4 linked regions of the Arabidopsis thaliana genome follow. The protein of the gene in region 1 interacts with the protein of each later gene in a pairwise test. Each region holds a gene or a part of one and is shown on either strand. Other genes may lie near its edges.

Evidence for each region.
Region 2: the proteins of AT1G80000 (region 1) and AT3G19120 interact in a two-hybrid assay, tested with the Arabidopsis thaliana proteins (one large-scale study listed by BioGRID).
Region 3: the proteins of AT1G80000 (region 1) and EDA14 interact in a two-hybrid assay, tested with the Arabidopsis thaliana proteins (one large-scale study listed by BioGRID).
Region 4: the proteins of AT1G80000 (region 1) and AT2G03500 interact in a two-hybrid assay, tested with the Arabidopsis thaliana proteins (one large-scale study listed by BioGRID).

What each region holds. Positions count from the first base shown.
Region 1 is NC_003070.9:30,089,801-30,099,025, reverse strand, and holds AT1G80000 (CASC3/Barentsz eIF4AIII binding protein), read right to left. Parts: upstream 6,220-9,225; 5' UTR 5,832-6,219; coding exon 5,365-5,831; intron 5,054-5,364; coding exon 4,954-5,053; intron 4,789-4,953; coding exon 4,583-4,788; intron 4,498-4,582; coding exon 3,818-4,497; intron 3,595-3,817; coding exon 3,492-3,594; intron 3,254-3,491; coding exon 3,134-3,253; intron 2,734-3,133; coding exon 2,681-2,733; intron 2,550-2,680; coding exon 2,489-2,549; intron 2,358-2,488; coding exon of another isoform or gene 2,348-2,357; exon of another isoform or gene 2,312-2,347; coding exon 2,284-2,311; 3' UTR 2,121-2,283; intron 2,036-2,120; 3' UTR 1,703-2,035; downstream 1-1,702. Other genes in the region: FRS8 (FAR1-related sequence 8), read right to left, coding at 1-1,270, 1,375-1,461; AT1G79990 (coatomer subunit beta-2), read right to left, coding at 7,077-7,099, 7,378-7,543, 7,677-7,806, 8,047-8,153, 8,255-8,348, 8,431-8,627, 8,731-8,802, 8,887-9,001 and 1 more. UniProt on the Arabidopsis thaliana protein: Core component of the splicing-dependent multiprotein exon junction complex (EJC) deposited at splice junctions on mRNAs.
Region 2 is NC_003074.8:6,607,595-6,613,951, forward strand, and holds AT3G19120 (PIF / Ping-Pong family of plant transposase), read right to left. Parts: upstream 3,545-6,357; 5' UTR 3,425-3,544; coding exon 2,084-3,424; 3' UTR 1,756-2,083; downstream 1-1,755. Other genes in the region: AT3G19100 (Protein kinase superfamily protein), read left to right, coding at 1-311, 419-531, 639-746, 826-888, 983-1,150, 1,243-1,386; RBP47B (RNA-binding protein 47B), read right to left, coding at 3,804-3,920, 4,257-4,350, 4,464-4,594, 4,678-4,760, 4,937-5,420, 5,831-6,229.
Region 3 is NC_003074.8:22,310,103-22,316,972, forward strand, and holds EDA14 (embryo sac development arrest 14), read right to left. Parts: upstream 4,326-6,870; 5' UTR 4,126-4,325; intron 3,920-4,125; 5' UTR 3,901-3,919; coding exon 3,845-3,900; intron 3,760-3,844; coding exon 3,669-3,759; intron 3,483-3,668; coding exon 3,391-3,482; intron 3,270-3,390; coding exon 3,176-3,269; intron 3,083-3,175; coding exon 3,003-3,082; intron 2,813-3,002; coding exon 2,732-2,812; intron 2,649-2,731; coding exon 2,549-2,648; intron 2,468-2,548; coding exon 2,375-2,467; 3' UTR 2,156-2,374; downstream 1-2,155. Other genes in the region: ARABIDILLO-2, read right to left, coding at 1-494; AT3G60370 (FKBP-like peptidyl-prolyl cis-trans isomerase family protein), read right to left, coding at 4,898-5,020, 5,280-5,356, 5,471-5,579, 5,709-5,818, 5,932-6,116, 6,200-6,275, 6,383-6,518; AT3G60380 (cotton fiber protein), read right to left, coding at 6,811-6,870.
Region 4 is NC_003071.7:1,056,911-1,064,891, reverse strand, and holds AT2G03500 (Homeodomain-like superfamily protein), read right to left. Parts: upstream 5,348-7,981; 5' UTR 4,967-5,347; coding exon 4,768-4,966; intron 4,414-4,767; coding exon 3,841-4,413; intron 3,253-3,840; coding exon 3,176-3,252; intron 3,083-3,175; coding exon 2,633-3,082; 3' UTR 2,213-2,632; downstream 1-2,212. Other genes in the region: AT2G03505 (Carbohydrate-binding X8 domain superfamily protein), read right to left, coding at 83-119, 201-443, 524-575. UniProt on the Arabidopsis thaliana protein: Transcription factor acting as a flowering repressor, directly repressing FT expression in a dosage-dependent manner in the leaf vasculature.

The sequences.
Region 1 (9,225 bases):
TCTCTTCCCAAGCTGTTTCAAATTCTTCGACCTTGAGACAACCGTAGACTACTCTGTTAAGTGCCATAGGGAACAAGTCAGAATCTTGTAGTTGGACAACACTCTGACAGATGTTGTGCAGGACGTGGGTCAAGCTAAGACGATGATGAGCCCTTGGAAAAACTTCAGAGACAGCGGTCCGCATTGCCTTGCACTGTTCCGTGATAAAGATCTGTGGGGGACGGCCTAACATGCAGGTTAGCCACGCTCTGAAGAGCCAGACATAGGTCTCAAAGCTCTGATCAGCAAGCAAACCACAGCCGAGCAAGATTGTATCTCCATGGTGGTTAATTCCAACAAAGGCCACAAGGGGAAGCTCGTATGCGTTAGATAAACAAGTGGTGTCGAACAGAAGAACGTCGCCAAAGTGAGAGTATGCAGCCCTAGCTCGAGCGTCAATCCAAAAGACATTCCTGAGACTCCCGTCGTCGGCAAGGTCCATGAGGTAAAGAAAGTTGGGGCTGGAAAGCTGAATTTGGAAGAAGAAATCCTGCAAGGCCCTGAAACCCCCTCTGAGCTCCAAGCGCCTTGAAGATTGGAAGTGATCAAGGCTGAGATCGCTGGTCTCCCCGCTAGAGAGTGAAGTTCCAAGAGCGGGTGGTGTGTCAAGGGCAAGGGTTCGATACAATTTGATAGTCCGGACTTGGACATGGGGAGGTGGTTCGGGATTTGTCTTAGTTGCAGGAGAAGCTGAGGAGGAGGATTTCTTGTGAGACTTGGAATTGTGGGCACGTTGAGGATCAAAGGAGTGGTTGTGGTCGAGTTTGACTTGATCAACTTTCCATCGATCAAAGTGGATGAGTCGAAGGCGAATCATGGCCTGGCAGCCGGTGCGGGTCTCCTTTCTCCGGGAGTGAGCATCTTTAAGCAGCTTGAAACCTTGGCAGTTGCAACACAAGACAGCACCACGTTTCTCCTTGCTGTTACGCTTAGTCCAGGAGGACTTGACGCGGATAGCAAAACCGAGCTCACGGGCGTATGAGTTGTAGAAACTGTAAGCATCATCGTAGGACTCGAACTCCATTCCAGGAGTAGGAGGAGGAGCCATCAAACACTTTTCATTAGCAAAAGCGTTTTCGTCGCATCCAGTTTCTTCTTCGTGATTAGGTGCGATATGAAGCAAGCCGTGACAACAGGCGTCATCATCATCTTCAAGGTCAATATCGAGATCAGGGATTGGAGGAGGAGCAAGGTCATCATCATCATCATCAACAACCAGCTGCTCTTCCATCTGAAGACCATCAAATTCAAAATTGAAATCGAAATCGGAAACCCAAATTGAAATCAAAATTTGTAGTAAATAGAGAGAGAGAAAGGAAGACAGTAGAAACCAACCGCCGAGATGCAGAGATTAGGGTTGGGCGAGAGAGAGTGGTCGGACGGTGACGGTGACGGTGAGATGTAGACGCTATTACCGATCATCTTCCACTAAACTAAAAACTAAAATCAACAAACAAACAACAACAATCGTTTCATCTCAGAGGACGCTGAGCTACCTGAATCAACGGAGACTCTATCCCTTTTTTTTTTTTTGCTGCGCCAAGGAATAAAGTTTCTATACACTTGGTTTGTTGCATCTATTCTATGCGGTCTGTTTTGTTTTTGTCGCATAACTAAATAACCAGAGCGGAGGCATGTCTTTATATATATGGTAACAATTCCTCAATGACTCATTTCTCACGAATCGGGTAAATTTGACTGAGCACCACCACTATCCCCTTGCGTAAAATATAAAACATAGACAACTAACTACCATCAAAACTCAACATGGGCAATTCTTGGGGGGACTTCGCAGGCGTACGAATAGGGCACACAACTTTTGATAAAGAAGTTGACAAACGAAAACAGAATAACACATATCAACATTACAAAATATCAATTTGAACCCAAACGGACAAAAGAATAAATTACAGATGAAGGACGCCCACGGCTCAAGCTCAAGCTCTCATAACAACGAAAACAAAACAAAAATTCTTTTCAATTGCACAACAACCTCCTGAAAACAAAACAGCAAACACAAGTTCAAATTATAATGTGGTTAAAACCTCTCTTCAATTGGTATCTTGAGAGAAATTGCGTACCTAATAAAAATAGGTAACAATAATAGCAGCCCAAACGGCTTCATAAAGCAGTTGGAGAAGCACCAAGGGCCTGCTGCTCCTAAGGAGCTCTTCTCTCTCACCCTCCTCCTTTCACTCCACTTAGTCAAATTAGATGACCTTCTTCCTTTCCACTCTTCTTTACTCACTTGCTAAAGCTCATCTCCGAGTATCTGCACATCCCTCGTCAACATGTGCTCGTTAGTGTTTCATTTCATCCTGGACCAATATTAACATTTCATTTCCACAAATATCTGTATCCAACTACTCCTGTGGTACTTTGATTTCAAGGTGGTTTCACGTCACACTAACACTGACCGATAAATAAACTAGATTGCTTCAAAACTCACCTACGAGGCTGCTTGTTTGGGTTGCTATTTGACCGTTGAGAATTCCCATTGTTCGTAACCTCTACATCAATAAACCCCCATACGAATCAGTCTCTCCATGTAATCATTCAAATTTCTTATTCGCCAAAACACAACAAAATCTTCTGAATCCATTATAACAACCCCATTTAATTGGCAAGAGTTATTACTTACCAGGTCTCTCCATGGGCTCTTCATCATTAGGATTATTGGAACTGTTCTCTTGGCTGCAACAAAAAATCAAAAATATAAGGTAATTGGGTACTTGAGCTCAAATTATATGCTTTACTAGACGCTCATAATCAGAGATGATTGACATGGTTACATGAGTGCCCAACCAAGAAAGTGAGTCTGTTTAATGAAAACTACATGTTTCTGGGTGTACATAGTCGAGAAACTACTAATCTAAGCACTTAAGAAATGTAAATCTAACAGGTAACAAGCATTTTGCAGTGGGTCTAGAATAAGAGGAACCACAAATCTAAAATCTCACATACGTTACTTAGTTAAGGGCTTAAAGCTGCATTCCCATACTACTCTTCCTCTAAGGTAAAAAGCAAAGAGTCTACACATATGCATATGGAAATGACATGTTGATTAACAATACTGAGAAAATTATTTCTAAACCTGGACGATCCGGCAGAGGAAGGTAACCCTGGTTTGTCTGCTTGGTAAGAACCATCAAGGACAGTATAAGGTGGACAATATGAACCCCCTAATGCTCCAGGGCCAGCCAAAATTGGCAGCCTGTCAATAATTTAAGAAAATAATAGCAGTAATAAGGACCTACTATAGATAGAGAAATAGGGAAATCAAACAAAAAACAAACAGCAGACGAGTGAAAGCAATAATTCAGGTTCTGTTTGGGCTAGTAAAAGACTAGTTACAAGATTAAACATCCTCTCAAATTACAAAAGCATGCAGCAAGTCAACTAAGAATGCACCAAATATATAACTTTTAAAACATAGCTGTGGAACTGCATACCATGTCATCTCAGGATTTCCGGTACCATGTTCTGGTTGGAAATAACCTGGAAGAGCCATTCCAAAAGTTGGAACCCCACCATGCTGACCACCGAATTGCATAACTGAACATGAAAATGAAAACAAACAAGTTTAAACTAGTCAGGCGTGCATATTAGCACCTGTACAAAAAGGTGCCGTTCTCAAGCGGCCCTAGACATGGGCAACCAGGCCAAGCGGCTCAGCATCAATAGCTCTCAATTTCACTAGCATGCATAGATTGATTCTGAAAGATGTCTTTCAACCATTACAATGTAGGATGAACAATGACATTCAAGAACAACTTACCAGGTAGAAAAGCAGGGAAATTTGGATTGCCGTGACCAGCTGCCATCCCGGCAGGGCCCATAAACTGTGTCCCTCCATACATAAAAGATCCCCTTCCACTAGGTTGGAGAGACCCTTTTCCCTTGGCAACCAAAGCACCTGTTTCTACGGCTGACTCTATTTCACCAGAAAGATACGGATTTTCTGATGATCCGGTTTTTGGAGGAGAAGAAGGCAGCAAACTGATAACAGCCGAATGTTGATTAAAAACCTGACCAGGAAGTTGAGTACAGCTCTGGTCAGTGCCTTTAGGCATTCCACGGATTTGCATCGGCGAAGAAACTTTGTCACCTTGATTAGGAGATTGCTGGTAAAGCACTTGCCCATGAGGAGGTACACCTCTACCATGACTTGTAGTCTGAGCAGTGCGTCCCCACAAGGAGCTGGATTTTGTATTCCCAAACTTCTTTCCAGTCGGATTAGGGTTTTCATTAATGTGCAGCCTACCCATGCCAGCTTGTACATCCTTTTGTGCCAAGTTATTGTTGGATCTTGAAGGATAAAATGGAGGAGAAGCTGAATTTAAACTTGAAGCAAATACATTCTTTTTGGCTTGGATGGCTTCAGTCTCTAAGGTAGCTGTTTCTGTTGGTGGACGCCCTAAATCAACGTGTGACACTTCCACAGACGAATTTTGGGACCTAAAGATTCCGTAAAAAGACACAACAATTAGAGACCTAGAGCCTTCATGTGTTGACTAGAGAGGAAACAAAATTAAGGACTCACTGTTTGGTTTGCACAGAAGGTGCTTGATTCCCATTTCTCAATGCAACCTCATATCTTCTGGCCCCCCTCCCTCTCGTGACAGCCTTCGGAAACTGATTTTGGTGTCCATTGCCAGTAAATTCTTTAGAATTGTTCCCCCGAGACTGTCCACGGTCCTGACCCCTACCCTGACCACGACCTCTGCCTCGGCCTCTCGAAGTCCTCCTCTATGTTCACAAGTTTAATTAATCAGCTTTCAAAAGGAAAAAAAAAAGGAAAAAGAAAAAAGAGGTGGCAAATGTATAAACACAGCAAGAGGAAACAAGTCGATGAATACAAATATATTTATGAAAAGGAGAGAAAGAGAAAGAGAGATGATCAGAGAAAAGTACATCATATTGCTGTTTCTGTGTATTCATTTCCTCGAATTTGTCATGTCCCCACTTTCTTTCATCTCTGGATTGCCAGAGCCTCCTACCACCACGCATTCGCCTACAGAAATAAAAAACGAAAACCTATATCGGTTGGCATTACCATGTAACTAAACAGAATGTTAAATGGAAAAATAGCAGTGTGATGGCATCTCGGGTAGATTCATACATAAAGATTCACAATCAAAGTTAAAACATAAAACCAAAGCAGTTGTTCCAATCTATCTGAACTCTGAAGTACATCATGAGATTGAATGACGGAAAGTCGTTTGCTAATTTCACCTATCAATGTACTCTACCTCAATAGTAGATAGATACATTTGCATAGTTTGGACAAAACACTACCTCCTCATAGAATCAAAAAGAGTTTACCTATTAGAGGCGGCATCCAATTCCTGAAATCTGTCATCATGCATATAGAAAGCTCCAGCAGTAGGCACTGCAAAAGGTTCCTTCTTCTTTTGTTCCTCTCCATCCACAAGATCAGTGGCGGCAGAGTCATCGGTCCCATTGCCGGCGACAATTGTCTTGTCATTATTATCCGCAATGTATTCGACATGGTCATCAACTTGTCCATAATCACCATCTTCCTCTTCGTCGTCATCATCACCATAACTATCTTCTATGTGCAATCCTTCATTATCATCAGAGTCGACAACAACAACACCACTGTGTTCATCGGAATGAATCTGGATTGCTGCTCGCAGCTTATCATGGTCGTCCGCTTCTTCATCATCCTCATCATCATCGCTGGCTTCTCTCCTCCGTGTAGCCAAGGAGCGGTTCAACTCGTCGGGATCACTCTCATAGTCGGAGTCTTCAACGCCATCAGGGGCCATCAATCCCTCTAAATCGGAGGGCCAAACCGAAAACCTAGAAGAGGAATAAATTGAATAGAGCAATCAATCGGATATGGGACAAACTAGTATATCTCTACGGAGAGAGACGACGATACCAGGAGATCAGAGCGAGAGAATCTCCTCAGTGTTTCTTCATGAGAGATCCGCAGATAGATAGATAGAGAGATAGATAATTATAATAAGAAAAAACCTCTTAAAGATTATTAAGATTGATTGGGTTTACTTTGTAGACGGGAAGACTCTTTCCGTTGGGTCTTCTTATCAAATCGAATGGGTTTTTTACTACTTGTAGACTGATGATGATGCACCTACAACATTTGACGCTTGAGTTCTTTTTTCCCAGTTTTTGGGAATTATCCAACTTGACTACTTTATTAACTTTTTTTTAACCAACAATACTAATTGATAAGTTTAATACAAATTAGCTCTACCTTATCACTTTTTCTCTCAACTATTGTTGTCTATTAATCCTGACAAAAGTGACCATGTTAATATAAATAAAACATGTGGTTTCTATATAAATCAAGGGTATATAACTCCATTGGTCAACAACTTGAATATCAATCAAAACCGGAAAATTAACTTCCATAGGTGCATGCAAGTGTGTAACTCAATGGAGTAGTTGAACCTATACACAGTTTGCAGTAAGAAGCAACAAGAAAATTTAAAATCATTTCCAAGACAAAATGGGTAGAAGAATAATGATATGGTGATGGTGATTACGGACAGTGGAAGAATGCAAGGAACTTTGTTTTGGGTCCTTGTTTGCTTTGAGAGATGTTTCGAGATGCGTCTCCTCCACAATACTAATAATAATGCACCATGCGTTATCCTCTGGCTCTTTCCCAACTTATCCCTTCACTTTGATTATTTCCAATTAAGTTTTTTGCTACTGCTATTGAGTTTTGCAAAAAAAAAAAAGATATCAACTACATAACCTATTGAATCGAAAGTCAAAACATATTATATGGGTGAAATCTCAGTTCAAAACAGATATTCTACAGGTGAAATCTCTCATAAGTTAAAGCTACATAAGAGTCCCAAAACCCCCTTTTTTTTTAATATGTATCTGTATTAAAAGCACAAAGCGGAAGCTATCAATAGATCAGTTTTTTAACAATGGAAACTAATCTCTCTCTGTGCTGCCTCATTTCTCTGCTGAATGTATCAAGTTTCAAAGCCAAGAAAATATCTATCTGTGTATGTCTTCACTCTTCACCAACCCTACTCTTGTGGCGGTGTTAGAACTGTACAACAAACAAATATTTAATCAGTCCACGGATTGATAAAAAAGTTAATGGCATAGAGAAGCACTATTTAAAAGACAGTCAACATCAAAAGTAAGATGATCAGTAAGACGAAGATGGGAGGCAGACAGATGAGGAAACATTGATGGACAGATGCAAACGCAAATCCTATGATATATGTGCAGATGGCAAAAGGATATTTTGGTGCAGCGACATCTTATAATCAATTGATAACCACAAATGCTATAAGGCTGATGCGGTTCCTTCACTAATCTTACCCCACTGTTCTTCAGACTCGTTACCATTAACTAGCACAGCACCATCCGTAGAGTCAGCGTCCACCACAACAGCCTCTTCTTCCACATTCTGCTGTCTCCCATCACTACTCTCTTCCTGACGATCCTCCTCCTCCTCTTCCTCTCCATCTTCCCCCTCTTCCCCAACCTGTTCACAACAAATGAAGCAGCGACAGTAGAATTAATGATCCTACCATTGTCCACCATGGCCAAGACCATTGGATTGGATATCATGGGTAAAAGACAATCCTCTTCAATGCATGTAATGTAAACATGCATACCTCGTCGAGAACATCCCCTTGCTCAAGTCGACCCTCTTCCTCTATTTGCATAATTCTAAAAGCATCCACTAAAGTTGTATGATCTCTGTCTGCATGACTACAATAATCCCCAGCAGGAGGATGGACGCCCCTGCAAGATAAGTCAACAAAAATACTTTGTTTATGAGGATCCTGAAAAAATGAAATCGACATTCGGCTTATGTTTATACGGGTATAAATTCAAATTATAAGCAAATACATGACGGCTACCTTGCTATGTAATACAGACACATGACTCTAAATGGCTTAAGTCCCACAATTCAATTAAAAAGGTTTCCTCATAAGCACTGTTTTTAAGAATAAGCTAATGACGGCAACGACGAAAAGATACCTCGTCTCTGCAGCTCTATTTTCAAGGGACAGGGCGACTTGCCACTCCTCAAAGAGATTGGGATACTCTTCGGGATCAGCCAGAGATTCAGCAGCCTTTGGACTTATCTATATCCAGATTGACAGAGGATGAAGAAAAATTGTGGATATCTCAACAGGCAAGGTTTGAAATTCAATCACAAGGTGCATCGGATGTGTCTACCACTAACCTTGGTCAAATCGTTTCTCCACAATGCCACTATTTCGGAGACCTTGCTTGGAAGGTACGATCTCGCCATCAGAGCGGCTTCAGGTATTCGATTACTGTAACCATATTAATATCAGCATAGACGTAATTAGTTGCGGGAATATATGTTCCACATGTAAGAAATAGTAAACAATGTACCTTTCCACCAACAGATGCAGGCAGTCTTCTACTTGACCCAACATGAACAAGCAAAGAAAAGCGACATTGTTCTTTCCTTGCTCTTTTGCAAGTGCTGCCAGCTTCATCATTCCATCTGCATCTCCCAATGAAGAATAAAGCAGCAGCAGACCACTCAAATCCATAGCATGCCTCATGCATTCCTCAGCCATATCCAGCTAAGTAGTCCAAGCATGGGAAGGAAAATGAAAAGAAAAATACATGTTAGCTTTAACCTTTGTAAGAATCCTAGAACACTGATTGCAGCTAAAAAATGGTCACCTTCCCACTTGACATAGCTAATTCTCCAAGTTGCTTCCATTTAGATTCATTTTGTGCCTCTACAGCAATGTCCTGTCAAAAAATAAGAATCGAGTAAAAACATATCGGTAAGTCATGGAAATAAAGCTTCTCAAATGGTAAAAACTACAGACTAACCTTTGCGACAGCCAATCTACCGAGCTGTATGGCCAACTCAAATCTGTAGTCAGGATCAGTTGCTACTTCTAGAGCATCTTCTGTCATGCCACGTGACTCCAAAAAGTGTGCCACGCTGACAAAACGAACAGGATTTTGAAGTCGAGAATCAGAAAAGTAGGAATGCGTGAATTTAGGAAAACAATTTAAACCATTATGTGACCTTGGATACATGTTTACTAACACCATAATCCAGCTGTAACCATAATGCGAGGGAAAGCACATTCTCATACCTATTATGGTGCTCCTTAGGAATTGAAGGTAAGACTTCATTAGCCTGTTCCAAATCTCCACGCATCA
Region 2 (6,357 bases), on another chromosome or scaffold:
CTTTGTCAGACCAGACGAAAGACTAAATGATATAGTGGGAAGTGCATATTACGTAGCCCCTGAAGTTCTACACAGATCTTATACCACAGAAGCGGATGTATGGAGCATAGGAGTCATAGCATACATTCTCCTATGTGGAAGCCGTCCTTTTTGGGCAAGAACTGAATCAGGAATTTTCAGAGCAGTTCTAAAAGCTGATCCCAGTTTTGATGAACCTCCTTGGCCTTCGTTATCCTTTGAGGCAAAAGATTTTGTTAAGAGATTATTGTACAAGGACCCTCGGAAAAGAATGACTGCATCTCAAGCTTTGAGTCAGTAATCTCTAAAATATCCACATCTTTCTATATTTATCTTCTGTTTCTAGCTTTTCATGAATCACCAGTTGAAGTTACTCCACGTTTTTTTCCGGTTTTTACAGTGCATCCTTGGATCGCGGGTTATAAGAAAATAGATATCCCATTTGATATTCTGATCTTCAAGCAGATCAAAGCATACTTGAGATCTTCGTCTTTGCGCAAAGCTGCTTTGATGGTACATTTTGCTTCTAACCTTTTTTACTGTTTCCAAACAACATTTAAGGATGTGTTTGATATTTATTACCTTTGTATCTAGTTTGCTAACTCTTTTATTCTCTCCAGGCTCTGTCCAAGACATTAACTACCGATGAACTTCTTTATCTGAAAGCGCAGTTTGCACACTTAGCACCCAACAAAAATGGCCTCATCACTTTAGATAGCATCAGACTGGTATGTGCCTTCTCTTCCTCTCTGTCTCTCTCTGGTAGAAAGCAAACAGCTCAAAGCTAGATTTATTTCTGTTGGACAGGCACTTGCGACAAATGCAACAGAAGCAATGAAGGAATCACGGATCCCGGACTTTCTTGCATTGGTATTGTCTCCTTTCTGTTCTTGTCCTTTTGCTTAATCTGTTTAAGATACAATCCAAGGTTGGTTAACGAAAGTTTGGTGTTGGGAAATGACAGTTAAATGGACTTCAATACAAAGGGATGGATTTTGAAGAGTTTTGTGCAGCTTCCATTAGCGTTCATCAGCATGAGTCTCTTGATTGTTGGGAGCAGAGCATTCGTCATGCTTATGAGCTATTTGAAATGAATGGAAACCGAGTTATCGTCATCGAAGAACTCGCTTCTGTAAGTTTATAAGAAATTCGACACTTGCTTCTGTCATGCTTAACAATTTATTCAGCTAATTCCTAAACGAAGGGAACATAAATGTTTTGTAGGAACTTGGTGTTGGATCATCCATCCCGGTTCATACCATTCTAAATGACTGGATAAGACATACTGACGGGAAGCTGAGTTTCTTGGGTTTTGTCAAACTGCTGCACGGTGTCTCGACTCGACAATCTTTAGCGAAAACGCGATGAGGAAAGTGACTCGGTGTTATAACGGATTCGAAAGAGGAAGAACATACAACTGCAAGAAGCAAATGGGTGGATTGGGGTTGGGAATTGGAATTTTTTTCAGGACCCATTCCTATGTTTATAGTGTTAGAAAAAGAATGCTAAGTTCCGACAAAGAAAGAGAGTATCCAGAAAAATCCGACAGGCCTGGAGAGTTGTATAATAAGATGATAATCCACAGTCGTGTTCTTCCAAATCATGGAAGACAGATATTAAGAACATCCCTTTCTCTTTTCATTTGGCTGTCTCCATTTTTTCCAGGAAAAAGATTCAGATTCCATTCACAATGTGCCACAAAGCAAATCATAAAAACCCATTCCTAAGTCACAAAACTTACAGTAACAGAGAGCTATTAATATTTCAAATTCGGAAAAACTTGCTTCTCAAGATTCCATAATCCATATCAATAGAAGTCATACATTTCATTCTCAAAAGGTGTTACAGAACAAACCATAAACCCATTCCTAAGTTACAAAACTGACAGTTGGGATGGCTAGGCAACAAAGTCAGCTTTTTAACATTTCTGAATCCTCAAACTTTCTTCTCAAGAGGATTGAATCTACAATGCTATCTAAAGTTCTAAACACTTGAAAGCATCTGCTTCTTACATGATAACAAAGATAGAAAGCTCCATTTTTTGACCAAGATCTGTTCATGTCTTTTACCTCGAGGAGAGTCTCTGGTGTAAATCTTCTGCCAATGCTTGCCTCAAACTCTCCCCGTAATAGTAAAACTGCCTCTCACTCTCCAAAACTCTTGCAGGCGTTCCAGCTTCATCTGGATCCTTCCAAATCTCCGGTTCAGGTTCTCTAGCAATCTGACAAAGATTATGCAACACACAACAAGCCACAATAGTCTGAGGAGCATGGTTCACACCAACATTCAAACTCTGAAGAATCTTCCATCTAGCCTTGAGCAATCCAATAGCTTCCACCACCACTGACCTTCCTTTCATCAACATTCCATCGAATAGATTCTCCGGTGGCGTACCAGAGCCATTTGGTGAAAATGGAGTCATCAGGAATGAGAGAAGAGGATAACACCAATCTCCAACAATGTATGGTCTCACATGGTGACCTCTAATATTGATAACTTTCTCCCAAACAATGTCTCCTGAAGTAAGCCTCTTATATAGAAGACTATCTCTGAAATGAGAAGAGTCGTCTTCTCCACCTGGAGCTTTCACACAAACGTCCCAAAAGATCTTCTTGTGATCAGCAACAACCTGAAGCAAAACGGCGTCGTATCCGTACTTGCAACCGTAAATGTTTCTAGGGTTTAGTTTCGTGCGGCGTCTGAGCTTCACCGGAGTACTATCAATGGCGCCGCAAATGTTGGGGAGAGAGGTGAGTTCTTCGAATCCCTGAGTCGTTTCGATCAATCTCCGTTTTCCGACGGGGATTTTGATGAATTCTGGATATAGCTTGGTGGCTAAGAGACGTGTGACCATGTTTGTGATCTTGGAGATGAGGTATGGATCTAGTGAGTAGCGAGAAGCTAGGGTTTTAGCTGAGCAGCCATGAGCGAGACGAGAGAGGACCATAGCGACGGCGTAATCGGCGGGGAGAGAGAGATTTGAAGCGGTGATGAATGGTTTGAGCTTGTCGACGACGGTGATGAAGACTGGGTAGGAAAGACCGTACAATGAGCGCCAACGAGCGTCGCGGAGAGGCGCATCGAGTGACCAGATGTGGTCTGTGGTTAGGGCACGGAAGGCAGCGACGGAGTAATCGCCGTCGGCAAGAGGCGGAGGAGGGGAAGGGGAAGGTGATTCTGAGGAAGATGAGGATTCGGTTGAAGATCTGTTGACGGCGAGGAAGGAGAGGAGAGATGCGAGAGTGAAGAAGAGTAAAGGCGCGGCGGAGGAAGTGGAGAGGAGGGAGGAAGGTGTGGTTGAAGACTGTGAAGATGTGGATGCGGAAGAGAAGAGAGTGCTTGTAGGATCTAATGAGTTTTGGAGATGGAGAAGATGTGAGAGCATCGCCATGAAAGCTTCTTCCATCTTCACTCTCCGATTTTTTTCTCTCCGGAGAGGTTGAGAGTAGAAGAAAAACTGAAGAAGTGAGAGAGAAAGGGCTAATAGCTAAAAATTTAAAATTAATGTGAGTTAATAAATATAATTTTAAAGTTTTGGGGTTGTTTGTTTAATTTCAGAAAGTTTTGGGCTTATAAGCAATTCGTAGAAGGTAAGCGGAATTTTGATCCAACAAGTTGCAACCATTTATATTAGTCTGAGACAAACCAGTAACCAAAATTTTTGAATCTCCTCCAAACAACAAGTCTATCAAAATCAAATCCATCTAACAAAATTCTTCTTTCGACTACAGGTTTTAGCTTTGATATGTGAAACCATGATGAAGATGATCACTTGATGAGTCTCTTCAATTCTCCCCATGATAGTTGTTGGAGTCGTGGTGGTTAGCATATCCTCCTCCATTGTTGTAACCATGTCCTCGTGAGTATCCTCCATTCCACTGCTGCCCTGAGTCTCCTCTCCACTGCCACAAGTTGAACACATTATGAGAACTAAAAAGAAATCTATTGCCAGCAGAACCAATTTGGTTAAGTCCTAGACCAAAACATGTCGACATAAGACCATGTTCAGGGTTGGTGACACAAGTTGGACATGGAGACATGTATTAGATATTCTCCCACTTGCATAAGTCAAAATAGAAAACGAAGGGAAGGTGCTAGATTCCACCAGCTATTATTGTCAACCACTGACTTTACTTTTAATAACAAAACAAACAACTATTCACAAAGTTTGACCCTAGCAAAATACTCAATTTACTCTTCTACTGATAGAATGCATCAACTCCAAAGTGAAATTTTACCTGCTTGTTTGGGCTTCGTCCCCAGGAGAGTCTGACAGTGTTCTTGCCGATGACTGTCCCGTTCAAACTCTCGATAGCATCTTCAGCACTCTTCCTGTCAAAACCAAAGGCAAGTCGCTTTGAATTACTCGCTATGAGATAAGCACCTACAGGTTGCTCAATCATATGATTGCCAAGCCAACACTACTAACTAGATGAAGACAGCACCTGTCAGCAAATTGGACAAATCCACATCCTTTCCCTACTGGGATCTTCACTGAAACAACCTCTCCAAACTGGGAAAAAGGTTGTCTGAGGTCTTCATCAATAACATCAGGGTCAATGCCGCCAACAAATATCTGCAGTAGAATAACCTAAGATGAGCAGCAAGAACATATAGAGCTTGAATGATGCTGACATATAACTAAATATGACAACTCACTGTTGCGTTAGTTGATTCGCCATCAGACTGCGAGCCATAACCCATGGAACCATTTGATCCATGTCCACCAGCCAGAATCACAGCTATTCCAATGAAAACATAAAATCTTTATAGTTCAAAAACTTTGTTGAATGCAACAAGTTGTTAGCTCTAGAGTCCTATGGATTAAAACTGGCTCACCTCTCGCTTAAAACTAGTACACTTAAATAGAAAGAATCAGAGGGTAAAACTAGTTGCAGAGAGAAGTATGAAAAGAAACCTTGTGAAGAATGTTGTTGCTGATTAGCAATCGCTCTTTTGGGAGTTGCAATACCTACACGCATTTGCCTGTTCGAACAGTAAGCTCCATTCATTTCTGTCAAAGCCCTTGACCTCTCATTTTCATCACCGAACCTCACAAAACCATAACCTTTGGACCGGCCGGTGTTGGAATCAATCACAACTTTGGCGCTTTTGACAGAAGGATATCTATCAGAAAAGGTCTCATGCAATAAAACGTCAGTGACATCTGGAGACAAGTCTCCCACAAAAACAGATAGGTCTGGACCATTTTCCACTGCTCTTTTTTCACCAGTACTAAAAGATGCCCAGTTTATACGGAAGGGTTGGTCCGAGTTTGGCATCACTGAACCACTATAGTTCTGAAGAACTTCTTCAGCTGCAGCACGTGAAAGAAACTCAACAAACCCATACCCTTCTGATTGAGAAGTGAGCTTGTTACGTATAACTTTCACAGAAGAAACCTGCTCATCACAAAAAAAAACAAGAAACTTCAGAGAAAGAACAAAACAGAACACATGTATAACTGGATATAAGTTTATTCATGAAAAGTGAAAATCTTATGCAATCATTCTCTTTCATACCAGAAAAGTTTTAACTAAACGTGGCAAGGTACAAGAGTACTTTTTGCCTAACGAAATATGAACTTGTCCTGTCCTTTTCAGGTCAAAGTTGTTCTCCATTACCCTATTTGTTTCTATATCCATTGGATCTAATCTAATCCAACTAACTAGTTTTTTAAAATAGCTACTTGGTTTAACAATGAATCAAAACACAAGAACATGTCAATGATTTGCAAAAAGGATGAATTTTTAACCATATTTACAAGTAACAATCTAAATCCAAAACAGAGTACCAATGAACAAGATAATACCTCGCCGGTGTGAGAAAAGCAAGAATGGAGATAAGTCTCATCCATCCAATGAAGAAGATCACCAACCCAAAGAGTCTTGACATCATCTCCAGATCCACGGTCAATAGCCTTGTGTTGCTGGTGCTGGTGCTGTTGATAAGACCCGTATTGGTGAAGCTGAGGATGATGCTGCTGATAAGGACCTTGATTATACGGAACATATTGATGAGGATACATCAGCATCTGTTGCTGCTGCATCATCATCATCGCCGCCGCTGGTGGATATTGCATGGCAGCCATCCACTGTTGCTGTTGCTGTTGCTGCTGCTGCCACTGCTGAGGTGGAGGAGGGGTTTGTTGATTCGGCGGTGTGGCTCCGGAAGTTGCCAACGTCGAATCTGAGCCGTTGGTTGTCTGCATCTTGATCCGATCTGATCTCCGGAAAGGGAAAACAGAGTCTCCGAGTTGTTTTAGATTCAAGAGTTTCGAGATTCTTCTTCTCTATGAATATATTTCGTTCCAACAAGTGTGCGTAAAGAAAGTGAGAG
Region 3 (6,870 bases), on another chromosome or scaffold:
CTCTCACAGAAATCTGGTCCAAGTTGGAGGCTCTCAAGAGCTTCATGGCGTGCCGCAATCATAGACAATGTAGCATCTGTAATCTTCCTACAATAGTCGCCGCTAATTTCAAGCAGACTCCTTGCTTTGAGATGAATTATGGCATCAGCAGAGTCAACACCACGAAACCTAATCTTCTGAAGATCAACACACCTAGTTGCAAGAGAAGCTGCCATTGAAAGATCAAATTTGTGGGCTCGAAGATCCAATGAACTCCACAAAAAAGAAGAAGCACCAAGGCTTCTCCATGTCCTACAGGTCGAGGCTAAGCTAGCTCTATCGCGATAATTCAATCGAGTAAACAAATGAAACACTGTGTCATAAGGCAAACTAGTCCAATTCACATACTGTTGAACCTTAGGTGCTAAATCCTCAACTCCAATCACAGTATAACTTGGTGAATCAACCTTATACTTTCCATTATCCTCCACTCTCTGCCTCACCCTACGACTCATATCTTGATCAGATATAAATACACACTCTAACGAGTAATCAATCCCTTGCAGCTACCAAAATTAAAGCACTCTGTTTATAAAGACCATAATGATAAAATAAACGCAGATCCTACTCCACCTAGAAGAAAATCCAAACCTGCAGAACAAGAAGAAACAATAAGATCAAACAAGTCCCCAATTTGGAAAATTTAGATACTCAATGGCTCCAAAACTAAAATCCCATAGCAGATAAAAGAGAAATCAAATTCAACAAACAGAAAGAACTGAGGAATGCTCTCGCCGGATTCTGAGAAGAAAAACCCTCGAACAGAAAAGCGAGGAGAGACTTAAACAAATCTCTGACCTTTACTATGCAAATTCAATTCAGACAAACTCCATTGGAAATAACAATTGAAAGAGTGATGATGGTCGGAGAGAATTCAGACGAGCCCACAGAGAAACTGTTGTGACACGAAAAAAAAAAGGGCAAAAGAGCTTAAAGTAATCACCTTTGGAGAAAAAAGGAAGAACTTTATCTTCCCTGATTCCGAGAGACAGAGAAAGGAGGAAGAATTAGAGGAATTGGGCAATGAAGGTAAAGAGAGAGAGACGAGAAGGGCGGATGTTGAAACCACAGCTCATATAGGCATTGTAATTGTAACAAAGAGCTTCAATCACCTCCTTTGCACGGTACATTATATATTACCCAATTACCATTCCTCTTTTCTTCTCTTTTTTAAATCCTAACTTTTATTTTTGTCATTTTTTAAAAAACAATTTGATAAATAATTATTGTTCTAACCAGTGTTCTAAATTACGATAAACGTTTTTCTTGTGATATATTAGTATGTAAATAATTCACGATGACTTGTTATGAAAACTACTTGATTAGTATTAACAGAATTTTTGCACATTTATATGTATATTATATTAAAATTTATTTGAATTATAGTTGAAAATATAACAAATTTAACGGATAATCCGTAAAATTTAGCGTGTTTATATTGAGATACAGAAAAGTGGTGTATCATATCTTTCTTTCTTTTAGTTAGTCATTTTATTTTTTATCAATAATTTTAAAATGTTATATACTTTAAATCTTTTGGCTAAACATAATTAATTATAAGTTTATTTTATATAGACAATTAATAGGTTTCTGAAAAATTGGAACTAATAACGCATATCATAAACATAGGGGTAACATTTGTGTCTTATGCCTTTAATTAAAATGACTTTATAATGTTTTCTGAAATTATTTAAGACTAATTGTTTTTTAGTAGAAATAGCAAATATCATAAGCCAGTGCATTTGTGTTATATGCCAAAGATGGCTGTTTTTCTTTATAAGTTAGGATTTGATTCCAAATTTAAACTTGTACTAAAACAGCAATTGTACCAAATCATTTAAAGTCCCATTGCTTTTTGTTTTCTTTCTCTCTTTACATAAGAGTAAATAAATAATAAATTAAAAAGGCTGAACCAATATTTTTTGAGTCTTTTAAGTAACAAAATCTAAAACTTAAACAAAAACCAAAATTTAAAAGCTGAGTAAGATTTGCGTATTTTTGGTAAAAGCCAATCAGAAAGAAAAGGGCCCATTATTTGCTATTTACAAACAGTCTTTTTGTGTATACCGAACTTTATCTTAGTGGTAAAATTTTGAAGTCTTCAATCTTCTATTTTGGATTCATGTGTTTATATTTCGTCAATCACATTAGTAAAACTTTTCCAGATACGCAACAAAGAGCTTAAAGTAAACAGATATTGTCCCATCCAAAATTGTATGTAAAGTTCTGCAGGTTCTGGAGATCAAAAAAACTATAATAAAACTGCCTGCTATATAAACTTTAATAGAGATCAGAAAAATGATGTCAAGCTACACAACCATGAAAGCTTTTCTCTTCAGCGTTTTCTATCGGCGCGCCATTTGTATACCGCTTTACCATTTGGATTGAGCAGCTCGTCATCACGCAGCTTCCGTTTGCGACCCTTTTTCTGTCCATTAAAAGAGTTTAATCAGAGATGGTCTAGTTGCATACCAAGAAACAGTAATGTGTTCGGGGGACTGATGATAACCTGTAACTCCTTCTGCATTGACATATCCGTGTATAACTTCTCCAAATCTTTAGCCCTGCTCTTCCGCCCCTCGAGGTCTCTATAGGACCTATCCATTTTCCTGTTTTAAGAAAATAGAATACAATGACTATTGATTGTCCGTTTGATACCTTTGAAAACATCTAATTCATTTCAGATACATACTTTTTAATATCTTTCGGAATCTCTACTGTAGAGATATCACTTTTGCTTCTACCTTGTACCTCCAGTTCTCTAGCCTCCTCTCTGATAAAGGAACAACAGAGTTAAAAAAGAAGATTATAAGAAAACACAAACAATGTGGTACCGGTAATGTCTTTTAAATGTTAAGGTAAGGAGGATCAAATTTTGCAGTGTCCATATGACACATTCAAAATGAATGAGAAAATCACGAAAGCTACACCAAGTAAAGAAAGGACTAAAAGTTGGGATTAACCTGTCTTCTGCATAGTAAACATGTCTACGGCTTGACTGATCCCCAGTACATTGCAGCGATGCAGTCAGCTTGTCAATTTTCTACAAAAGATAAGAAGGAACAAAGAGAAAAACTGGATAAATATGATCGTAAGCAGAAAGCTCTTGGGGTGTGTATGAGGAAAGATAACTTACGTTTTTCTCACTCTGCCATTTTTGGAACACATATCCAATATCTTGAGTCTTCATAATCATAAGCTCTTCCGCAGAGTATTTATTTACCTCATCTCTGAAAACAATAACTTTGTCAAAATTTACAAACCAAGAAGAAAACGAGAAACCATGAGAATAGCAAAAGAGATAATAGTGAAAAGCAAAAAGAAGAAAACGAAGAGTTTCGATATGCTTACTTTGGTCTATGACGTCCATCAACTGTTTTACTATTAATCATCTTAAAGTTGAATTCATCTGGATTCTTGAATGCAGCCTTCTGCCTAAGTATCTGCAGTAAAGTAAAACGGTGTAAGAGAAACTGAACTCCCAACGATTTAGTTTCTTAGCTATCTCACAGATATCATCAATCAATCCCGTAAACTAACAAATGTCTACTTGAAAGACTTTATTAACATAATCTCGACAGTATAATCATAGGAGAGATGGAATTGAAAACAGAGAGTGTAATAGTTACCTTTAAAGTTTCCTGCTTTTTGTGATAAGCATTAGCTCGGATAATATAATCCTTATGCTTCTCGAGGATGCCAAACCTCTTCCTCGCTTCCCTGATGATACGTTTAAAAATCCAAACTTTAAGAAGAGAAACGAAGAAAAGAACAAAAAGGACACCTGAGAGCAATAATAGCTTACGGTTGAGATCGCTCCTTATGAGCAGGCCGTGGAATAGCATTACGCAGCGACGACATGTTGGATTTGCTCTTGACGCTGCAATTTCAGTCACAAAACTGTTTAGAATTAAGAGAGCTTAAAGATGATCTTAAGCTACTCGAGCTCATCAACTTAACGAATTGAAACTGAAACCCTAATCTGAAGTATGAATCTAATCCAACAATGCAACATTCTCAAGTCTAAACCTAACTATGCATTCGAACAGACGAAACGAAAGAAAAAAAGAAGCCAAAGATTCTCACGTGAAATACAGGGGAACCCTAGAAATTAGACGACGCCGAGAAGAAAGGTGAAAAGTAGAAGTCGCCGGGAACACAACAAATTTCACCGATGACCTGAAACTTGGTTTCTGGAAAGGAGTAGAGAAGTCGGCGAGAAGAAGAGTTTAGGGTTTTTTGGGGATAAAGAAAACTCAAACCGAACCTTCTAGCTGAGACTAAGGGTTTAGTGGATACGTCGCAATTACTCATTTACCCTTTTTATCGTTTTAGTTGCTTTACTTGCAAATTATAGTTTCCACACATAAAATGTCTTAACGTCTTTAGATGAAAATTTCGTAATTAACTTTCCAAATGTGATGAGCATTGCACATCTACCGTTCCAAATTTCAATGTATCTTTGTACAATTTATTATTTGTTTGGGGTGTTTCATAAAGAGTGCCAAAATTTGGGGTAGAAATTATAAAACTAACGAAACAATGCATTGCTTTAACTTGACAAACGCACAGATACAGAGAGACAGAAGATATCAAAAAGCTCCAAACGCTTAAAACGTGATCAACAAAGCAACAAAAGTAAACTACGATTATGAAAAAGGTCGAGACTTTACATGATCTTTATCTGTCTCTCTATGTAATTGTGCATCTCTACATGAAACCCACAAGATAAATGCCTAAGCAAAGAATAATTGTTCTTTTTGTTTCTTTGTAGTTCTCATCTGCCGTGCAGATTTAGAGTATTGAAGATTGAAGAATGCAGGTTCATTGAAGCTTAGTGATGACCATCATTTGGAAGTTAACTGCATGTGACATCTGAGTAGAAACCTATTATAGTCCTCCTCTCACAATTCTGGATACTGAGCAACTCCACGTCGAAAACTTCAAATTGCTTCGAGCTGAAGAAGGTCGAAGGTCCCACCTGGTTAGAGCCCAATGAACTTTGTTTTGTCAAAAATATGATCGAACCAAAGTGAAGACAGTTTTTACACAGTACAAGTCTAATCTACATTGGTTTAGATATGTCCCTAAACGAGCATGCTCAAGCTAGTAATTCCATTTGAAACATTGTTGATAGAGGGATGGTATATTCAACGGAATGGCTCAGCAAAAGTTTACCACTAGTCAGGTTTACAGTTCAGACAAGTGTATACTTGTAAGGAACAAGTAAGAACACTAACCGGAGGTCCCAATTCTGGAGGGATTATAATCCTTCTTCGCCCACCGGGCTTCATGTCACGAATTCCCATTTCAAATCCTGCATCATCATTATCCATATAGTATTAAAAATCTTCAATATGTGTTTCCTGTCAAAGAAGATTCTTCATTAACATCCTACTACTAAAGAGCCAAGTTAATGTCTTCTACTTGCCTGGAACAAGTGCATTGGTTCCCATGCGGATTCTAGCAGGAGAACCTTGTATGTAAGTACTATCTATTCGCCTTCCAGACTCATTGTAGCCAATGTAGTGAAAAGTCACCTGTCAAAATAACCATAAAACTCAATGATATCTTCAATTCTATATATCCAAGTAAAGAGCATACCAATTCCATAAATGATCTAACTTCAGATCCTAAGTTTAACTAATCTAACATAGAGGAAGTAGTACCTGCTGACCATCTTTTGGGAAATCACCTTGACCAACATTGAAATCCCGATATATGAGGCCAGAATCAGCCTTGATGTAATTATCAGAAGCTAATACCTTAACCTCAAAACCTGCACTATATCAGCAAAAACATAAACACAAACAAAAGGACAATAAGTTCTCATATTCTTCTTCCACTCAAGAATGAATAATACTCAAAGAAACAGTGAATAAAAGCTTAAACCTTCTCTAACAAAGTTAGGAAACTCGTCAGGAGCATTGTTCTCTCTCTGTATCCTCTTGTTCTGTTCTAGTAACCGTCTCTCATCATAAGGACTCTTTGATTTAGTCTTCGCAGATGAAGACAACGCTGGTAACAACAAACACGGCGAAGCAACTAAAACATAAACAAGACTTCTCCGACTCAAGCTGCAATTAAAAGACCAAGCTTTATCTCCAGAATCAAACCAAAAAAAGGAAAAAAAATTATCTCTCAAGATTGCAAATTTTACCATTGGTCTTTTGGTTCTTCACTCAATGAACAACATACCGAGCGATTGCTCCGAGATAATGACAGTTTTGTTTCACCTATAAGATTTTATGGAACAGTTTTGGTCACTTAACTAGTCTTATGGAACCAGCTTACTGAATCGTAAGATCAATAAGAGTTTTGAGAGATAGAGGGAAGAACTCACAGAGAAATGTAAGTCTTGGAGAGAGAGGAGTTGATAGAATCGTCACCATTGCTTCTCCCTCCGGCGATTCCTGCAAAAATCCAATGTTTATCCTAAAGTTTAATTTTGTAGATAAATTACATTTTACACCATCCATTTTCAGTTTATTATAATTTGGACCCACAATTCCTTTTGTTACCAATTTATCCGTGTGGTCATTGGTCAAACAAAGTTGACGAAAACTTTACTTGTGGTCTTGTGGACTCTTAACCAACTTGGTATTTTTGGACAATGACTCCGAGCAAAATTTAATAAGGTTAAAAGTTCATTTTTATTCAACAATATAAACTTCAAACAAAGAGAGTGACAACCAGATTCTCATCAACAATGCCGATGAATTAAAATTACAATATTAATACAAGTAATGAGGCAATAAATGGTGGTGAGTGTCATCTGAATTGGCTGTTTCTGAAAATACCAGTGCCTCCTCCTCTAGGTTGTTCACCGGA
Region 4 (7,981 bases), on another chromosome or scaffold:
ACCAAACTTCTAAGTCACGTTACATAAAGAAAGACAAGTTTTAACCAAACAATCTCTTTACCAAATCTTGAAACAAACATACCCTGGACTTGAAGGATATAAGCAACCAGTAACCACAGCTGCAAAAGAACAGAGGAAAACATCAAAAAGATTGCATCATAACACCAACAAATTTAGGTTTCAGAGATTTTGGTTTTTACTTGAAGGAAGATTTTGGCTGGTAGTAGCAGTTCCTGAGAAATTACAGCTTCCAGAGATTTGACCAAATCTTTGGAAATAAGTATTAACCGCCCAATCACAATGACTCTTGATGGTGTTTGGTTGATAACAAGGACCTTTCTCATGAATAGGATTACAATCTTTTAAAACTCCACATGCATAATCTATCGATGTTTGAAGATCTTTCTCTCCAACACCATCTCTACATAGACAATAAGTTGCACCTAGAAACAGAGAAAGTGAGAGAGAGTTGGTTTTGTTTGAAACCTCAAGAACAGAGAATCATTTTGAACAAAAAGCTTACTTGAGTAGGTGGTTAAAGCCAAGAGAAACAAGAGACTAAGAAGCAATCTCATGATGGACCAAAGCAAGTTTTTAACTCCTAAACACAATCCAAGAAGATAGCTTCAAAGACAGAGGAGAAGAAGAAGAAGAAGAAGAAGAAGAAGAAGAAGAAGAAGAGATGAGATTTTAGATGAGAGAGATATGAGTTTATTAATAAAAGAGAGTGATAAAGACCATACCATCTCTCTCTGGTTCCGAGGTTTAACCACAGACAAGAATCTGAAAATCTCAGTGTCCAAACTCCAAAAATGTATATGGTCTCAACATTTGTTTTTTTCTTTTTCTTTTTTGTTGCTAAAAATTGTAATTATTTCATTTATCGTTTGGTACAATTTAATTATTCTTAGTCAAAATAAAAGCAGAACCAATTAATAGTCGTGATTTCATCGTGAGACCATAATGGTAGTAGACTCAATAAAAGCAAATCAATATGTTTTAGTGTTCATCTGATAATGTACGAAGGAAAATGAAAGTTGGGAATTGACAAATTATAGAAATTTTTGCATAACCTATGAGTTAATGCTGACCTGGTCCTCTAGTCCTTTGTGGTTGGTGCACGATACATTCGAAGTTTGGTAATTAAAAACTTTCTATTTGTATCAGTTAATTCATAATTATTTTTTCGTAGGTAGTGGTGTCTTTTATTTTATACTTAAAAACGGTAATTATTAACCCAAGGGTCAGGTCAAAACTTAACCCAACATTGGTTTTGATGGTTTCTTCTGCAGATTCTGTTGTCTCGATTTGATCGTCGTTTAACTTTTCATGCTTTGCAACGCTTAATTTCTAAATTACTAATTTTAGATTAGTTGGTCAGTTTGTCACATATAATTTATATTAGTTTACAAATGAAAATTTGAAATGGACTTGTTTATGAAAGTGTTTTCAAGAGATGTGAAAGGTCAAAATTCTTTTGTAAGCTGAATTAGCCACCGATATTGAATGAGAATATTCTTATTTTGTTAACTTAAAAGAAGAAGAAATAGCGAATAAAGTTTCGATTTCTTTGTGGCCTTTTCTAGAAAATATATCTTTTATCAATTATCATTCTTCATTTAAAATTATTCTGACTAAACTAAAACATGTTTGGAGATGTACCAATCAAGTTTCAAACCAAGATTTACACCAACCTAAATACTGTCTCATAACAAAAATGATTCTAACACCTTCCAAATTTTTGACATTCTTTTTTCCTAATTTTTTTCCATCAAATGGTTTTTTCTTAGGTTGCAAATATTAGAGTATATAATATGATTATGAAAAACTAAATGCAGAAGTGGTGCGTCGACTAGTTTATGTAATGAAAATAAAGAATATCGCTGACTTTTAGAGCAAAATTCCAAGGACCACCACTCCATATCTAGCACATGAAGATGCATCATACCGGCCAATCAAATATTCAGATTTGTTGTGGCGTTTAATGCAATATTTGTGGACAAATAGTAGATAGTTAAAACCGAAGAAGACTATACATTGCCAATTACTAGAAAATTTGCCGCAATACCAAAGAGATTCCAACAATCTAATTTTAATGATGGTCTTAATTTTAAACGGCAAGTCATTTTGACTTGTGTTATGATCGAACCTAAATATATATACAATGGAAACAACGATTAAATCATTAATTTACATATAGCATTTAGCTGCTCAAATGTTTAACATCACTACAATTTTCATATATATCATTGATAACACAAACAAAGGCCATATGAATTAATCAATTTACACATAGTTAACGCCTACACAAGTTCATATGATCAATCCACATTATCCATTCATATAATCAACCAACTAAAGTAAACACAGACACGATAGTCCCTTTGAGATTACCAGTTTGAATACATGTTTTTATCTAACGATAAGAGTAACATGATCAAAATGAATTTTCTAAGTGATGATATGATATTCATAATGTTCGATAAAAACATTCGCTGCCTCCTGTGATTCATTTTCTACTGAGAAAATATATAGAGAGATACAAGCAATGAAATAAGTTACGTAGGCACCCACAAACCCTAACCCTAAAATCTCATTACTCTAATTAATTAATCAAGAATCTTTATTTTTTTTAGAATTTGAGAGTTATTTCACTTCCATTAATATTGCTGTGATCTTCACATTCTTCCCTAAGAGCAGCCAACCCTTTTCTCTCTCCACCACCACTCTCCGGTGACTTCCCTTCAACTGTGGGACTGTCCGTCACCTGATGATGAGTAGAATCGGTAGAGGCGGTGCCACCGGATGAACCGTTAAACGTTTGAAAGTGGTGGTGGTGGAGCGGCTGAGGAGGCGGTGGAGTTGTGTAGAATTCTTGAGAGGAGCAAAAGTGTGGTGGAGGCGGCCCTGCCGTGTTGGTATGGTGGTGGTGGACTTGGTGGTGGTAGAGAGTCGGAGTGCCACCATGTGCGGAGGTGTACTCCGGTGGAACCCATATGCCACCTAGGACCACCAAATGTGGACCTGGCCCACCTGACGTTTGTGGGCTTGGGCTTGGTCTTCTAGTGTGAAGCCGATACTTCTGTTTGTTTAAAATCAACACACCAGTAAAGTACTTAAATATGAGTTAAAAAAAGTTGTAAAGCATATTGTGGTGACTTGTGATTTAAGTTACCTGGAGATGGCTTTTGACTTCATCATTGGTCAAACCATCAACTTTCATGAGTTCCCTTATTTGTTTAGGTGTAGCCACTGCAATGATATAACCAACATATAAATACGGATACAAGTTCGATTCAAAAATTAAACACTTTTTATTAGGTTAACAAGGTTATTTTAATCTATATTTAATAAACTAAATCCATATCTAAACCGGAAAAAAATAGAATTAGAATTAGAATTTATTTGGAAACTAACTACATATATTTGAATAATTGTTAAGTACTTAAGTTGATCTCTCATTTTTTTTTGTTGATTCAAGTTGATCTATCGTATATTCAATTTCACTTTATGTACTGTTTTTTATCAACCGAAAAAACTATAGAAAACGCCAACTAAAACTTTATAATATGCCTTTTGAAAAAAATAAAAATAGCAAAATGGAAATCATGGCAATTTGCCATACCATATTCATTATTACCTAAATATCGAATAAACCACAAATGATAATACTAGCCATGTATAAAATATGCAGTATACGATAATGATGTATGTATTTGGTGACTCAAATATCATGTCTACTAAAAAAATCGTTTTAATTAGTTGACAATTTTTTTAGATTAACCATGGTAAAGCTACTTCAAATTAATACTTAGTTGATTAGAATAAGTGTATCTGTACCTTGCGAGCCACCAAGCATTTGAAGAGCTTGGACAAATCTCCGGTGCAAGTCCGGCGACCAGCAACGTCGTGCCTTTCTATTACTTTGACTCGTTGTAGAAGAAACTCCATTGCTGTTCGAATTGTTATTATTATTATTATTATAGTTATTATCATTGTTGATCATGCTCTCATCATTACCGTCTTGGCCATTAGTATGTTCGTTGGTCGGAGAGACCCTCTTGACCTCCGTGGATAGAGCTAATTCAGGCAAAGATTGTTCCTTAGAGAAGGGAAGAAAAGCACCGCTGCCATTTCTTTGTTTTGCATCAAAATGTCCGAGTTTCGGACTACTATTAATCTCGTCTTTGGGAAGAGATTGATCAGTAGTTGAATCAATGTTTTTTGGTTTGGTTTCGGATTGGCTCCATAGCTGAGCAGTCGTCATCCAATTACTTCCTTTGTTGTTTGTCTTTTCGGGTTGGTTCCTTAAGGGTATGAACTCTTCGAGAACTGGTCTTGTACCAACACTTTGGTTATTGTTATTACTATTTGCTCTATATGCTTCTAGTTGTTGTTTGTAAACTTCCACAGCTGGAAAAAAAAATCAAACTAATTAAAGATGGTAAAGTAATTTAAAATATGAAAGTAACAGATATAACATGAACCTTATAACCTTTAAAATCACTTTAGTTAGTTTTGTTGATTTCAGTGTTGGGAGGAAACAAAAGTTTTGTGATTCAAAGAAATCAAAAGCAAGCTCTGATTTTTATGAAATAAATTCTTAAATTAATGAATAAAGATCTTTTCAAAAAAAAAAAAGTGAAAAGAAATTCAAAAAACTAATGGTTCACTAGGTTTTTTTTGGTAATAAAGGGATTATTTGAAGATCATATTATACACAAGTATATATACGTAGATCTAAATATTGTAAATGGATATATGTACCATTGTTAAGGAGTTGCATGCAAAGGGGAAGCTCGCGTTTGAAGGCATCGATCTTGAGACGTTCTTGTTCTAGGCGAGAGAGAAGATCTTCAAGCTTATGTGTGGTTGGATCGCTCTGAAAGTTATCTCCAAAGGATTTCAAAAGCATAGAGTAGCTTTGTGGCTTGCAATCCAAGCTTAGTTCTGATGAGGACGCCATATTTATAGCTTATATACTCTCTCTCTCTCGCTGTATAGGAAGAATATTTATTGATTATATAAATATAATATAGATGATCAAGGAATCAAGAAGAATTTGTGGTGCCTTCAAGTTTCAGATGATATATGTATATGCTATATGGTTCTTCAGAAATATTTCAAAGATTTTCAGGGTTTTTGGAAATTAGGGTTTGGAGAGGAAGAGCGAATGAAGAAGAAGATAGAGGAAAAGGGGAATAAAATGTTAGGTTGTGGACACAAGGAGGATCACAAGGAGGTTCCTGTCCTTTTTAGAGGGCTCAATTCAAAGGAACGGAATAATGTGATCTGTCACCACACACACACACACACATATATCTATCGAGAGAGGGAGAGACTAAGGAGGTGTATTTTTTAGAGAGAGAGAGTGAGAGGCTTCTTACTGTTAGAAGTCGTTCCTCTTCTCTAATGAGTCAATATTTTTTTATTTTTTTTAATATTATGTAAAATTATTCGGAAAAAAACTGTTTTACATCAAGTGCTGCTTGTGTTTGAGCAAAATTTGAGAAAATATAACAAAGATAAATTATTTTTATTTTCTAATGAGTCAATATTACTAAAGGTGTATCATGTGTGACTCTCATTTCTCAAAAAGCTTATAATCAAGGCTTTTGATGCTACCATATATGGCTTCATGAATCTTAAACAAAATAGTTAATATATAAAAAACTATGGCTTGGTAAATATTAGTAAAATCATTAAATTAGTAACCATTTGATTTGTTTTTTTATCTTCTCTTATAATGCTTAGTTTTTAATCACTTCTTCAGAAAATTAATCTATGTATAATTCCATATGAAAGAAAGAGAAAAGAGAGGCTAAAGGAGAAAAGAGGAAGATATAAAGCAGCAGAGCAAAAGGGAATATATGGAAACTTGTTATAAAGAACAAATGGGTAAGAATACAAACTTTTAAATTATTTCTAATAAAGCGATATATTGTTTTTAATCTCAGATTCTGCTTTTGTTGGTTCACCACTTCACATAGCTTATACTTTCGTAAATTCAGTCTCATAATTCTTAAGATAAAATATGTTTCCTAATTCTCCTATAAATCTTAGCTCATGTTGACTGAAAAATAGATCTAAGCTAACATTTCAGGTATTTGGTTCTTAATTATCTTATATATTCGACAAAGTTAAAATAAAATTATGGAATCACCAACGCAATTATGTGAAAGGAATAAATTGTGAACGTTTTAGTACATTTTGGGAAATTTATAGTCGTTGCCAGAAAAACAAATATTCTTCTACCACCTTCTTAATTTATATAGTTAATTATTTTAAATTTTCAAAAGGAATTGAGATTCAATATAAATCAAAGAAGCACATATTAGGCCACAAGATTTTTATATTTATAGTTGCACGACGGCGAGAGAGAGAGACAGAGATAACGATTGATCAATATTTTTTTGTAAATTGAATTTCTTAAAAAAGTTGAATAATTATTCTAAATTTTAGTGGATGCAAAAAAGAGAAAGAAAGGGAATATCTGATTTAATTTATTACCATAAACTAGGACAGATATTCACTTAAGTAAATAATATTGACAGAAGTTTGAGAGTCGCAGAATCTTCCCACCGGACTTTAGTGAAGTGGCCAGGAAGGTAGAAGATTCTTCTTACTTAGAAATATTTTAAACTTTTTTAAAGAGTTTTTGCAATTCAAAGTCTTATCAAAATTTCTTTTCGTATCTAGGTTTCATTGAAAACCGATGAACTAATTGTGGACCTGATAAAATTAATTCTCTAAAATGCTTCTGTTTAATATTTGATGCACATATGTAATACAAATTAATTATTAGATATATGCATATTAAAACAAATTCGGGGCGGATATATCAATTTGATTTGATGATACAAGATTTTTTCTACCCAATCAAATTTATATTCAAGGCAAATAAGAGAGCATTTAGAAGTTGTAATTGTTTAGTTGCTCTATGCTTTCATATAATAACATTTCTAGAACATTAATCTCTAAAAACTAATGAAGCAAAAATAAGCTTTACATATGTAAAGTGTATTTGAGATGTGAGAATCTCGTCCTCTTATTAGTACTTAATTTTCCTAATTGGATAGCTTATGATGTTTTAGTCGTCTAATCACTAAACCCTTCCAAGTTTCTGACATGTGGTCTTATATATCGAGTTATCTAGTTTTTTGTAGGATCACCCTCAGACCTTTCTAAAGGCACAGTCAAAGAAAATAAAAATTGAACTAAGCAATAAGGCTACGTGATCGTGAAAATGCAAGTGATGCTACAAGAACTGCTTAAAGGATCTACACATGACGTTAGAACCTGCTTGCAACGATATTATAGTCTAGACGTATAGATAAAAAAGCTGAAATAAATATATATATTCTAATTACTATCAATTATACCATTGACCAATTAAATTTCTAAAATTAATCGGAACATCGCATTCAATCAATAAATTATACTCCAGTAAGAGTGATCCTACAAAAAATGTTTCTTATTTCTAATATTCTACTATTAGTTGTTCCAGTGAGGTCAATATCTGTAACTCTGTGTTACATGTGTATATTAATTCTGAGAAAATTATGATGAAAAAGATCAAGTTAATTTTAAAATCTTATCAAATAAAATCAGTTTTTCATCACTGTATAAGTAATGAACTCACTTATTTTGTATGATATCGCATTTTAAAAGTTTGTTACTCTTGTCTTTTCTTTTATAATTTTTTTTATAATATATAGTTTCAAGCAACCAATTGGCATCTAATGCCACACATCAAATTTTCGGACAGACCCTCCGACATGCATATCCTAAAATTTTGGATATCCAATTCATATATATTTCATATTTTCCTCAAAGTTCTTTCAATTCAAGTGATGGTGTATTATTCTATATGCTAATATTTTCTTAAGTACAAATATCATTGTACCTTATTCTCTTTAACTCTTGTTAATTAACCAAAAATTTGAAATTTTTAGTTACTTTCTATAAATTCAGAAATAAC